3 linked regions of the Arabidopsis thaliana genome follow. The protein of the gene in region 1 interacts with the protein of each later gene in a pairwise test. Each region holds a gene or a part of one and is shown in the gene's direction. Other genes may lie near its edges.

Region 1 (3,756 bases):
CCGGCGCCTGATCATAATGTAGAAGAGAAGAAAGAGGTTATTTATGAAAAGATTCCATCCAAAGATGATGTTAAAGAGGTGAAGGAAGAAGTAGTTGTGAACAAACAAGAAGAGGACAATCATCATCAAGATGTTGTGGAGAAACAAGAGGAGGAAAATAAAGAGGTTGTGAAGAAGCAAGAGGAGGAAAATCATGATGATGATGTGGTCGTCATCAATGTTAAGAAGGAAGGAGATGATGGTAAGAATCATGATGTTGATGAAGGGAGTATCAACAACTTTGATGAGAGAATGATTGGTCCTGGATCTCCAAGCTTTAGGGTTTATTGCGTCGATGTTCCTTCTGATGATGATGATGAAGGTAAATCATATGTTCTTATACAAACACACATATATACATGTATAAATCATTTACTATTTGTATTTGTATATGGATGCATGCATTGTTAGAGACATATATATGTTTATATATGAAATGCTTGTTATATTATGTAGTTTCGTTATTGAAACAATTTATCCATTCACTATTGCAGAAAAAGATGTAGAAGACGCGAGAAAGTCGATGGAAACCGAAAGCGTCACGACAGAGATAAAAGAGGTGGTCAATCACATTAATTCACATTATTGATTATTTGATCTATGAGGATCTCTAACAATGATATATTTGTATTTCTATAGGACGGAAGCATTGTCAAAAAGGAGAAAAAAGAAAGAAGAGGAAAGAGGTTCGGAATCGCATTGCCGAGGAAGTATTTAGCAAATGTGACTGCGCCGTGCTATGCAGGTGGAGGATGCATGGGAAACACTCATTCTCGTTTGGTGCAAGAGAAATCGAGCCAGTGATCGATCAAAATATGTTTGCCATCTTTGCATTGACTGATTTGTTGAAGTAAGAATGGTGTGGTGTACGTACGGGATCACGATGAATAATCAAAACCACCTTACGATTTTAGACCTTTGATTTGTTTTAAGAGACGCTTGTTTCAGAATTTGTACAACCTCTTCTTCTTCACCTTTGCTTTCTTTGATCAGGATAATTAAGTTAGTGTTTGACGAATTTACTTTTTTCCACGTGGAAAGATGTAATTAATTGAACTTGTGCAATAAAAAAAGTGTTGTCTAAATGTCAAATTTATTGTTACATTAACCAATGAAAATAAAATTAGAGTAACATATAGGAAACTGCAATTATAGAAGAAAAAACACACTAAAAGGTGTAAGTAATTGAACTTTGTGAATTCCGTTTGTTTTCGGAATGCACAAGTGTTAGTCATAATAGGAAAGATAAAAATCTTAATTACAAATCCTAAAATACAATTTTTAATTTATTTTTTAGAGTTTATATTAATATGTCGTCAAAAACGGTATATTATTCAGAACAAAATTATCGTTGACCATTAGTTAATTAATAACCAAGTTCAAATTTGATAATTTGAAAGTTTATTTAGACAAAATTAATTAGTTGAAAGTTTTATCAATGATGGCCTCTTAAATTTTTAACTTTTTTTTGTTGAGTTTTATAAAAAAGAAAAAATGGTTTTCAAACTAAATTTGTTTATGATCATGTTTATCCGAGTTAAGCCCAATTTGAGATCTTTGTCAGTAATGACTAAGAGTACCTCCCGCATATAGAATTCATGTAGTTTCTAAAACATATATATATTTTTTTAACTTTTAAATATATATATTTTTTTAATTGTATGAGTTTCTACTAAAAAATTACTATTGAAGTTGGTCTAAGTTGCGAGACCAAATTTTTATATGCTTTCGGTTCGAATTGACATTTCTCTGTGTAAACGAAGCATCAATAAGAATTTATCAAACTTGAATGTAACACCATTTCTTTAGTTGATCATTTCCAAACATTTATTAATCAAATAAAATTGAATTTCAAAGTCACGTGATAATGATGATACTCAAATTTAAAAAACCAATAACACTTTATTTCAACATTTCTATGAAGAAATCAATTATTAACACTTAAAGTTATTAATTGAATAACAACGAACAACATTTAATTTAGTCAAAATTAGATTTTTTTTTTCTTTTTTTTGGTTTTATTGTTAAGATTTTATACCAAATAAAATTTTACAAACGAATCTAAAAGAAAGAACAAATTTAAACTTACCTATCAGAATTGTTGTAAGATATTTGGGTTTTCTTCGTATTAGGTTTCATCAGATCCAGACTCAAAAAATGGAGTCACCGCACTCGAATTTGCTCCCTGAAGTCGATTCTTTACCCGATGGATTCGTCGACGGCGCAACAGAGCCGCCTCTCAATTCTCCCAAGACCCAGGAAGAAACAACAAACCATGAAACTGTTGCGATCGAGAAAACAGAGAAGCCAAGAACTTTTCCGGTTCCGTTGTGTGAAACTGATGGTAATGAAGATGACGAAGTAGCTGACCTAATTCAAGAATCAATCAAGCTTGAGTTAGAGTTCGAGCAGAAAGAAAAAGAAGCTTCTCCTCCTATTTCTCAAACATGTGAGTGAAAATGTGAAGCTTAATTTCTTTATAGGAATTTGCTTCTTTTGTAACCTAAAGTTTGTTTCTTTGCTTTTTGTTTGAGTTAGTGTCAGAAGGGTCAACTCAAAATTCAACCTTGTCTAAGGAAATGGATTCACTCAAACCCAAAAAACAAGTCAGTATTTTGATGAGTTCTTCAATCTTGTTGCTTTGAGAAGAATATATGTTGAAGATGATGTATCTGATTTGTGTGCTGATGATATTGAAAGCAGGAGGTGGTTGAGAGCAAGCGTAAGGGTTCAAAGAATATGTTCAAATCAGAGAAAGAGTTTTTGGAATTTATGCTCAAGTATCAGCAAGTCCTTTCTGAAAGAGATTCTGGTAATAGGATATCAATAAAACCAAACTAGTTTTGTGTTACCTTCATCGTTTAATGCTTTATAGTCTGTACTCATCATTATTGTTTTTAACCGTAGCTATTACTGTTCGTGACAAGCTTGAATCACTTTGTAGAGAGTTACAACGTCAGAACAAAATGTTAATGGTTTGTTCTTTCTTTCTTCTTGCTTACTCTACTTGGTGTGTCTTGTTTTGAGGAACTAACCTTTTGGTGTGTAAACTAAATGTTCCTTTGTATAACAGGAAGAATGCAAGAGGGTTTCAACTGAGGGACAGACTTTAAGATCGGATTTATCGACAAAGTTCCAGGATGCTATAATGGTAAGTTGAACACATTTTTCTTTCGATGTGAATTCTTCCCAGGGTTTTGATCTTTGCTGAATATAGAAATTTGAGCCATTTTGCCGTCGGTATTGGCAGTTTTAGAGAGGAACAAGTATTGGATAATAGCTTTGTTTTGTGTTTCTAAGTATGCAAATCTTAAATGCACATCATTTATTGATCCTTGTTATATTTTCTTAGGATATTATCTCCTTTAATCTTCCGTGCTATATGCTTTGGACAGTCATGGCAATATCTTTTTCTTCTTTCTGAAACTCTCTACACTGACATTGGCAAATGTTAGTACCGATCTACACTAAAATTTAGTCCTTGGAAATAATTGGAACTAAACAAAGTAGAAAATTGTCCATATTGGTTTCAAGTTACAGATTGATAGAACTAAGTTTGATGAATTGCTTGCAGGCTTTTGCAACATCAAAAACTTACAAAAACAAAATCAGAATTTATTTGATTGATTTTTTTCTTATGCTCTCTACCTTCCTAATCCTCTTTTGTTTATAGGATGTGAGCATTAAGTTGGACGAGCAAAAGAATGAAAGCCTCAC
Region 2 (3,756 bases), 4.0 Mb from region 1:
CTCATCTTCAGGCAAAATCGGTTGGCCTATCTCCATTCTCTTCTCTAACACCCAACCCACAATTAAATTTTAGCAAAAAAATATATAAATAATATAAAAATCATTACATATTTTATATACATATATATAGATGACCTGCATTGAGAAAACCCTTTCAAGATTTGGTGGATCATTCAAGAAACACACATATTCAAACTTCTCCAAAGAAAAGAAAATAGCAAAAACTAGAATGAAGAAGACAATGGAGGATCCAAGCAAGATCATGAGAAGGTCAATTCACACTTTCCTCCAAAACTACCACCGTGTCACCACCGCAGCCGCCGTGGCCCTCCCTTTCTCCGCCGGTCTCCTCCTCTCTCAGCCTTTCTTCTCTTCTTCCTCTTCCACCCTTCACATGAGGCTTAACATGCTCTTCCGCGGAGCGGGTTTCTCTTCTTCTCATGACTTCTTCAACATCTTAAGCCTTAAACTCTCACAAACCCTATCTTCCTCTTTATTCACTCTTCCTTTCTCCCTCACATTCCTCCTTTTATCCAAAGCTTACGTCATCAAACTTCTATCAAACAATCACTCTGCAGATTCCTCCTCTGTTTTCTACCTCCGGCTTCTCAAAACTTACGTTTGCAACTTCTTCTTCCTTCTCTCTGCAAACGCCTCTGCTTTTGCTCTGTTTTTCTTAGCATACAATACCCTTGAAGCCTTTGGATTCTCTTCAAGAAACTTCTACACTTTCCTCTCCCTATCCTCAGCAATCATCTACTCAATTATCATCGCAAACGCCTTTGTCATCTCTAATCTAGCCTTGGTTTCATCACCTTCTTCTTCCTCGGGAGGATACACAAACATCCTCAAGGCGTGTCTTCTGATTCGCGGAAGAAATTCAACAGCAATGGCTCTTGCTCTGCCTACCAATCTCGGCTTAGCAGGAGTCGAAGCCTTGTTTCAGTACCGAGTCATGAGATCTTATTACAATGGAGACAGAGATATCATATCCATAGCTCTTGAAGGAACCTTCATAGCTTACTTATACGCTCTCTTCTTGGTTCTTGACACCATAGTCAACTTCCTCTTTTACCAGAGCTGCATCAAAAACGAGGAAGATCAAAATATCGGTAGAGAAGACGAGTATTCAATCAAGATCCAAATCAGCGAAACAGAGAACACAAAGATACACATCAAAGGATCAAAGAACTTGCAAGAAATCTTGTGACTCTCTTGTGTTGGTTGATGTAATTATTACTTATACAAAAAAAGTGAAAAACTTTATGAGATTATTGATTCTTTAAGGATAATCTCAAGTAGCTTTCACTTCAAAGAAGAGCAAAGGTACACACACAGTAAAGAACAATCACAGGATCTGCAAAACTTTTTCTTCTTCCTCTGTTTCTGCTTTTCTTTATTTTAGTCTCTTTTTTTTCCACATTGTAAAGTCAAATATACCAGAAATTTTAATTAATGCAAATCTTGGAATTCACATTTGGTTAATCCTACAGTATAATTTCATTGCCGACAAAATATATTAATTAGCAATGATTTTGATTACTTCCTTAAGTTATGAAGATGTTGACTAGATTCACACTTTAACAAGAGTGAAGAGTCTTTTGTTTTTGAGCAAGGATAAGTTCAAGCAAAATCTTTCATTACAAAGAGAGAAGAAGAAATGTCACAATTATCTTTAAATAGACGGTAGAGGCGAAAGCAATTGAACTTTTTGTATTTTTCGTTGAATGAAAATCCTAATAATACATTGAAATTGTGTTAATGATAAAAGCTCAACTTAAAAAGACAAAAAATGGCTAGTGGGTGGTCTACATCACTAATCTCTCTACTTGAACCTCTTTAACAAAAAGCCCTTTAATACAATAGTTCAGTACTACCTAAAATTTCTTCTAATGGAGAAATTATGAATGAATCTAATTTACTTTTATAGGTTAAAAAGAGTGGAATCCGGAAATGTTGCATCTAAAGAGATCAAGAAACAATTAAGCACAAAAAGATGAATTTTATAACAAGCAAAATTTTGTAGCTTTCCAAACATACAAAACAATGTAATCATTCATGGTCCATATTTAGGAATTAGGATCAAGGGTTTATAATCCCAGGTCCGACCGACCGAATCGTATAATCTGGTCCTATCAAACCAAAATTAAAACATTTAAACCGGATTTTTGGTTGAACCGGCCGGTTCATGGGTTAAGCGAAACCTCTAGGGTTTTAATATTTCCAGAGTTGGTTGAGAGCTTCTTCTTACTTTTACTTTTCCTCTGCTCGTAGACAGCTTTGTGCTTGAGACGATTCCCAGTTTCTGCGATTCCAAGTCGAAGATATAACCTCTCCTATTTGCGTCTCAGCTTCTACAGAGCTTTTAGGTAAGCTCCTCTGCTTGTATGATTCCTTTTAATTTTCAAAATTCACTGCTTTCTCTTGCGTATCTGCTCAAAGTCTCTCCCTTTTTCATTTAATCGTTTCTCTTCCTGAAACATTCGAACTCATAAACTAGTTTGATTCAAAAGTTTTCTTGCTTTAAACTTGTGTTAGCTCTAGAATGTTGTTCTTTGTAATCTGTTTGTGACATTGTGGTGGAGATGATGAATGTTAAAGTAAAAGGTCTGAGCAGGTTATGAGTAAAGTGTGTGGCTTTTGATGTTTAATTTAGTTACGAGGAGTCAATCTTTGAACTTTATAGGAGAGGGCCCTTGTCCATGTCTTGAGCCATGGCATCTGTGGCTCCGCAACCTCTCCAACAATGAACCTGATTTGTGTGTGCAATCTGATGGGTCGATTTTTAAAGGCTTGGGGTTGCTTTCTATCATTGATTGTCAATCTAGAATTCTCCCTATATACATTTGTCTCCTTGTGCTTCCTTATCACCAATTAGCTACCCTCGTGATTCTGCACTGATCAAAGACCCTTTGACTGATCCACGTGAGCTGTTTTTATGAGATTATCTATAGGTCTCTGTTTTTTTTTTTTTTTTTTTTTTTTTTTTTTTTTTTTATGTTTGAAGCTTTTGACAAAGCTTGTTTGATGGTATGGTTACCTCATTGTTGCTCTATATTTGGTCCTTCTTTATTTGTTTCAATATTTTTATTGCTTAATCCACTGTATAATAGTTTCTCCTTCCTCAATTGAGTTAGTTTTTCGTGATTGCAGCATTAAAAGTTGTTAAAATGGCTGGGGGGTCAAAGAGGTCTAAAAGAGCAAGACTTGACAGTGAATCGGAAGACATAAGCGACCAAGAAAACCTTAAGGTATGTTTATGTTGCTTTTGTCTCGTTTAAGTTATTTAGATGGTATAGGTGAATTTATTTGGTTGAGGGTTCTCTATATTATAGGCCGAAAGCGACAATGAAGATGATCAATTACCTGATGGGATAGAGGATGATGAAGTAGATAGCATGGAAGATGATGAGGGAGAGAGTGAGGAAGACGATGAAGGAGATACCGAGGAAGATGATGAAGGAGATAGCGAGGAAGATGATGAAGGAGAGAACAAGGAAGACGAGGATGGAGAAAGCGAGGACTTTGAAGATGGAAATGATAAAGAGAGTGAGAGTGGCGATGAAGGTAATGATGACAATAAAGATGCTCAGATGGAAGAGCTTGAGAAAGAGGTCAAGGAGCTTCGTTCACAAGAGCAGTAAGATTTCATTTGAACTAATCATTTTTAAATACTGTTATTTCTAAGATAGTGAATTCTTGTATGTGTTTCTTTCTAGAAACGGTAGATAGTCGTATTAAAGTTTCAACTGTTTA
Region 3 (3,756 bases), about 13 Mb from region 1:
AATATTTGTTATTTTTATTGTGTTAGTTTCTAGTGTGTAATAAAAAAGAGAAATAAAATGATACAAGCTAAATGCTAGGAAAAATGTGGAAACACTAGTTTGGACAATGAGAAGTTTGAATTTTGATTTCAGAAAAGAAAACTAAATTAATTTTAGTGCAGACTATTCCGATTAGGTGTAAATGTGGTCTACATTTGTGATATATTATGAAGACGTAGAGAAGAGTTAGAAATTTTTGTCATCTTCTTTTGTTTCCTATGTTTGTTTTGTAATGCTAATGTTAAAACCGATTTGCTAGTTCAAAATGTCCGTATCTACCCGTATTGAATGTATGTAATTACCCATAGTATGTATTGTATATTGTAAACGATATTTTTTTAGTTTAGCTTATTTGACAAAAAAGAACGTCGTTTTTAAAGTAGAGTTTAGATTGCTGCTGCAAGAGTAGTTAGTATATTGAATAAAAGTATAGTGATATGACATTTTTGTCAAATTCTCCATGTGATATGTGAGTAGTAGTCAAAGACTCAAAGGAATAAAAGAGAAACAGACTAGAACTCTTTTTAATCTGAACCGTTCATCTATGTTGTATTTTTCTTCTATCATCGTGGCACTTCTCTAGTCTTCACACATTTTAAAATTCTTTTTTACTCGTATTAATTTATTTTTAAATTAGTAATATGTTAAATTATTTGTAATGGAGTTAAAAGAATCTGGAGGATGGATTTGATTTGACTGGCAGAGAAGGCATCTATCTCTTTGGGATGTTCCATAAGTATTTACTATTATTTGTACTCAGCATGTGCCTGTCTTTCATAATTCATATGCCAATCACAAAACTTGTGTTCAAATTAGTATAGAGACAATCATTGGTTTTGAGTTGTGAATTATGATTGGATAGTAGTAATCGTTAAGGCATCTAGGAAATTTTATGTCTGATTTACATTCAAAAAATCCTATATGTTTTAGAGCAGCAATATTTTTTTTTATGAATCCAAAAATCTAAAACCATGTATTCATTGTGTAACTATGATTGTTTAATGAGAGATTTTTAGCAATGATTGAACATCTACTATATATATTAGTGTCAAAATTGTCAAAGTTTCGATGTGCGACAATTCCAATAACTTATAACAACTGTCTGTAAAATTTTAGTGTATTGATCTTAATACCTACCTCTCTAGACAAAAGCCATAAGTTTATAAACACAATCCTAAAACATAAAATGAAGAACTATTCAATCCTAAACGAAAATGATTTATAATAATTATATTTCTGTTTGTGTTTTTGGATTGTGTATAACAAATATTCGCATTTAAACAAAAATACTATATATTATCTTTCTAAACACTATTCAATCATAATTGAACAATCTGCATGATATAAATCGTCAAAATCAATAAAAACTAATCAATTTTGCATTAAAAATAAAAAAACATCATCTAATTCAATACAATTTTTTTTCCTAAAACATAAGAAAAAAGGAGTATACTTTCTTGGCTCATGTATCTTGCCTTGTCTATGCATATTCATTTATTTCAAAATATGTCACCCATATTCATGTTTGTTGAAAACAATGCTACTTTATAGTAGTACGTAGTACGTTGTCTTTAACTCTTTTGACGTTCATATTATTTCCCAAAAAAAAAATACTAATCAAAAACGAAATGAGTCGGGTCTTAATCCGATCAAACGAGGTTAAATTGTGACCTAAACCCGTGTTCTGTTCGACTTTTGGCAAGTTCTAGAAAACACATGTTAGCTTTTGACGTTAGCATAGAGGTTAATGCTAGTTTTGATAATCTAGTACGTTGTCTTTATTTGATGCTCTTCTTTTTTTCTTCTCCAGAAAAGCCTACAAAAACTTAATAGAATCCTGTCTAATCCGATCAAACCAGGTTAACTTGTGGTCTAAAGATTCTAAACTCTTTAGAAAGCACTAATTTGGAAACATGGATTCCATGATATCTTTTTGCAAGTCATTGTTGCATTAATGAGTTAGCGGCAACAATATTTGTACTCATTGATTATGAAATTATTTTTGTTAAAATTAATGACGAAATTGGACAACATCGGTTCATGAACCCTCCAAAGAAAATTTACATTGCCCAAATAGACAACGCACAAACACAAAAACACCACACTGTCTCCATCTTTCTTTCCTCTTCTTCAACATCTCTCTTCTCCCAAGAAAATAAAACACAATTTCCCAGATTCAAAACTTCTTTTTCACAAATCACAACGTCTTCAAAGGGATCAAGAATCTTATTACTCTTCTCTTCTTTTGCTTTTAAGAAGAAGTAAAAACATCATCTTAACTTTCACTTTTTGTATTATCTTTCTCTTTCACTCACTTTAAAGTCTATTTAGAGATTCAAAAACAAAATCTTCCAGAAACTGCTTCTGATCTTAGAAGATGACTCACTTCTCCTAAAAAGCACCAATTTCAATCCTATTTTTTTCTCTTGTTTTCCGGCAAGATTTGGTAAAATTTTGTGTTCTGATTTGTTGTTTTGAATATCAACTATGGAACAACGGAAGAAAGGTTGTAAGATCAGGAAGAGAGGTGGTTCTTCCTCTTCTTCTTCTTCACTTGCTCGTCGAAACCGCTTCAAACGTGCAATTTTCGCCGGGAAAAGAGCCGCTCAAGACGACGGTGGCTCAGGAACTCCTGTTAAGTCCATCACCGCCGCTAAAACTCCAGTTCTGTTATCGTTTTCGCCGGAAAATCTTCCTATAGATCATCATCAATTGCAGAAAAGCTGCGTGTCGGCGAGAAAGCTAGCTGCGACGCTGTGGGAAATCAACGACGACGCAGACCCTCCGGTAAATTCTGATAAAGATTGCTTGAGAAGCAAGAAACCATCGAGATACAGAGCGAAGAAATCAACAGAGTTCTCTTCCATTGATTTCCCGCCACGATCATCCGATCCGATTTCTCGTCTAAGCTCAGAGGTTAGGGTTTGCTTCAGTTTCAAGTTTCCTCTGTGTTTTTTTTCTTTCTGAAATTCTAAGTCTGAAAAATCAAAATTGCACAGAGAATCGATCTCTGTGACGATATGATTCGTAGAAGATCAACAAATCCTCAGAAATTAAACCCAATTGAATACAAAATCATTGGCGCAAACTCGGTATGATTTGCAATCTTACCCTAAAAACACTTTTCTTGCGGAAGAAGAAAGGTCTGATTCTTAATTATATTACAGGTGAAAACTCGTTTCAAGAATGTCAGTGACGGATTAACAACGTCTAAAGAACTGGTAAAGGTATTAAAAAGGATCGGTGAGCTCGGAGATGATCACAAGACAGCAAGCAATCGTTTGATCTCTGCTTTGTTATGTGAACTAGACAGAGCAAGATCTTCACTAAAGCATCTAATGAGTGAATTAGATGAAGAGGAAGAGGAGAAGCGGAGGTTGATAGAGAGTCTACAAGAAGAGGCGATGGTTGAGAGAAAACTCCGGCGAAGAACAGAGAAGATGAATAGAAGATTAGGGAGAGAGCTCACGGAGGCTAAAGAAACAGAGAGGAAGATGAAGGAGGAGATGAAAAGAGAGAAGAGAGCTAAAGATGTTCTTGAAGAGGTTTGTGATGAGCTAACTAAAGGAATCGGAGATGATAAGAAGGAGATGGAGAAAGAGAGAGAGATGATGCATATAGCTGATGTTTTGAGGGAAGAGAGAGTTCAAATGAAGCTTACGGAGGCGAAGTTTGAGTTCGAAGATAAATACGCCGCCGTGGAGCGGCTGAAGAAGG

What was found.
Region 2: the proteins of AT5G50840 (region 1) and AT5G61330 interact in a two-hybrid assay, tested with the Arabidopsis thaliana proteins (one large-scale study listed by BioGRID).
Region 3: the proteins of AT5G50840 (region 1) and AT5G22310 interact in a two-hybrid assay, tested with the Arabidopsis thaliana proteins (one large-scale study listed by BioGRID).

What each region holds. Positions count from the first base shown.
Region 1 is NC_003076.8:20,683,707-20,687,462, forward strand, and holds the start of AT5G50840 (alpha-taxilin-like protein), read left to right. Parts: upstream 1-2,111; 5' UTR 2,112-2,196; coding exon 2,197-2,488; intron 2,489-2,577; coding exon 2,578-2,645; intron 2,646-2,739; coding exon 2,740-2,851; intron 2,852-2,946; coding exon 2,947-3,014; intron 3,015-3,112; coding exon 3,113-3,190; intron 3,191-3,712; coding exon 3,713-3,756. Other genes in the region: AT5G50830 (nuclear polyadenylated RNA-binding protein), read left to right, coding at 1-361, 534-601, 679-843.
Region 2 is NC_003076.8:24,659,518-24,663,273, reverse strand, and holds the start of AT5G61330 (rRNA processing protein-like protein), read left to right. Parts: upstream 1-2,032; 5' UTR 2,033-2,938; coding exon 2,939-2,954; intron 2,955-3,042; exon of another isoform or gene 3,043-3,153; coding exon 3,154-3,251; intron 3,252-3,335; coding exon 3,336-3,640; intron 3,641-3,756. Other genes in the region: AT5G61340 (uncharacterized protein), read left to right, coding at 131-1,210.
Region 3 is NC_003076.8:7,384,116-7,387,871, reverse strand, and holds the start of AT5G22310 (trichohyalin-like protein), read left to right. Parts: upstream 1-2,038; 5' UTR 2,039-2,526; coding exon 2,527-2,955; intron 2,956-3,038; coding exon 3,039-3,131; intron 3,132-3,206; coding exon 3,207-3,756.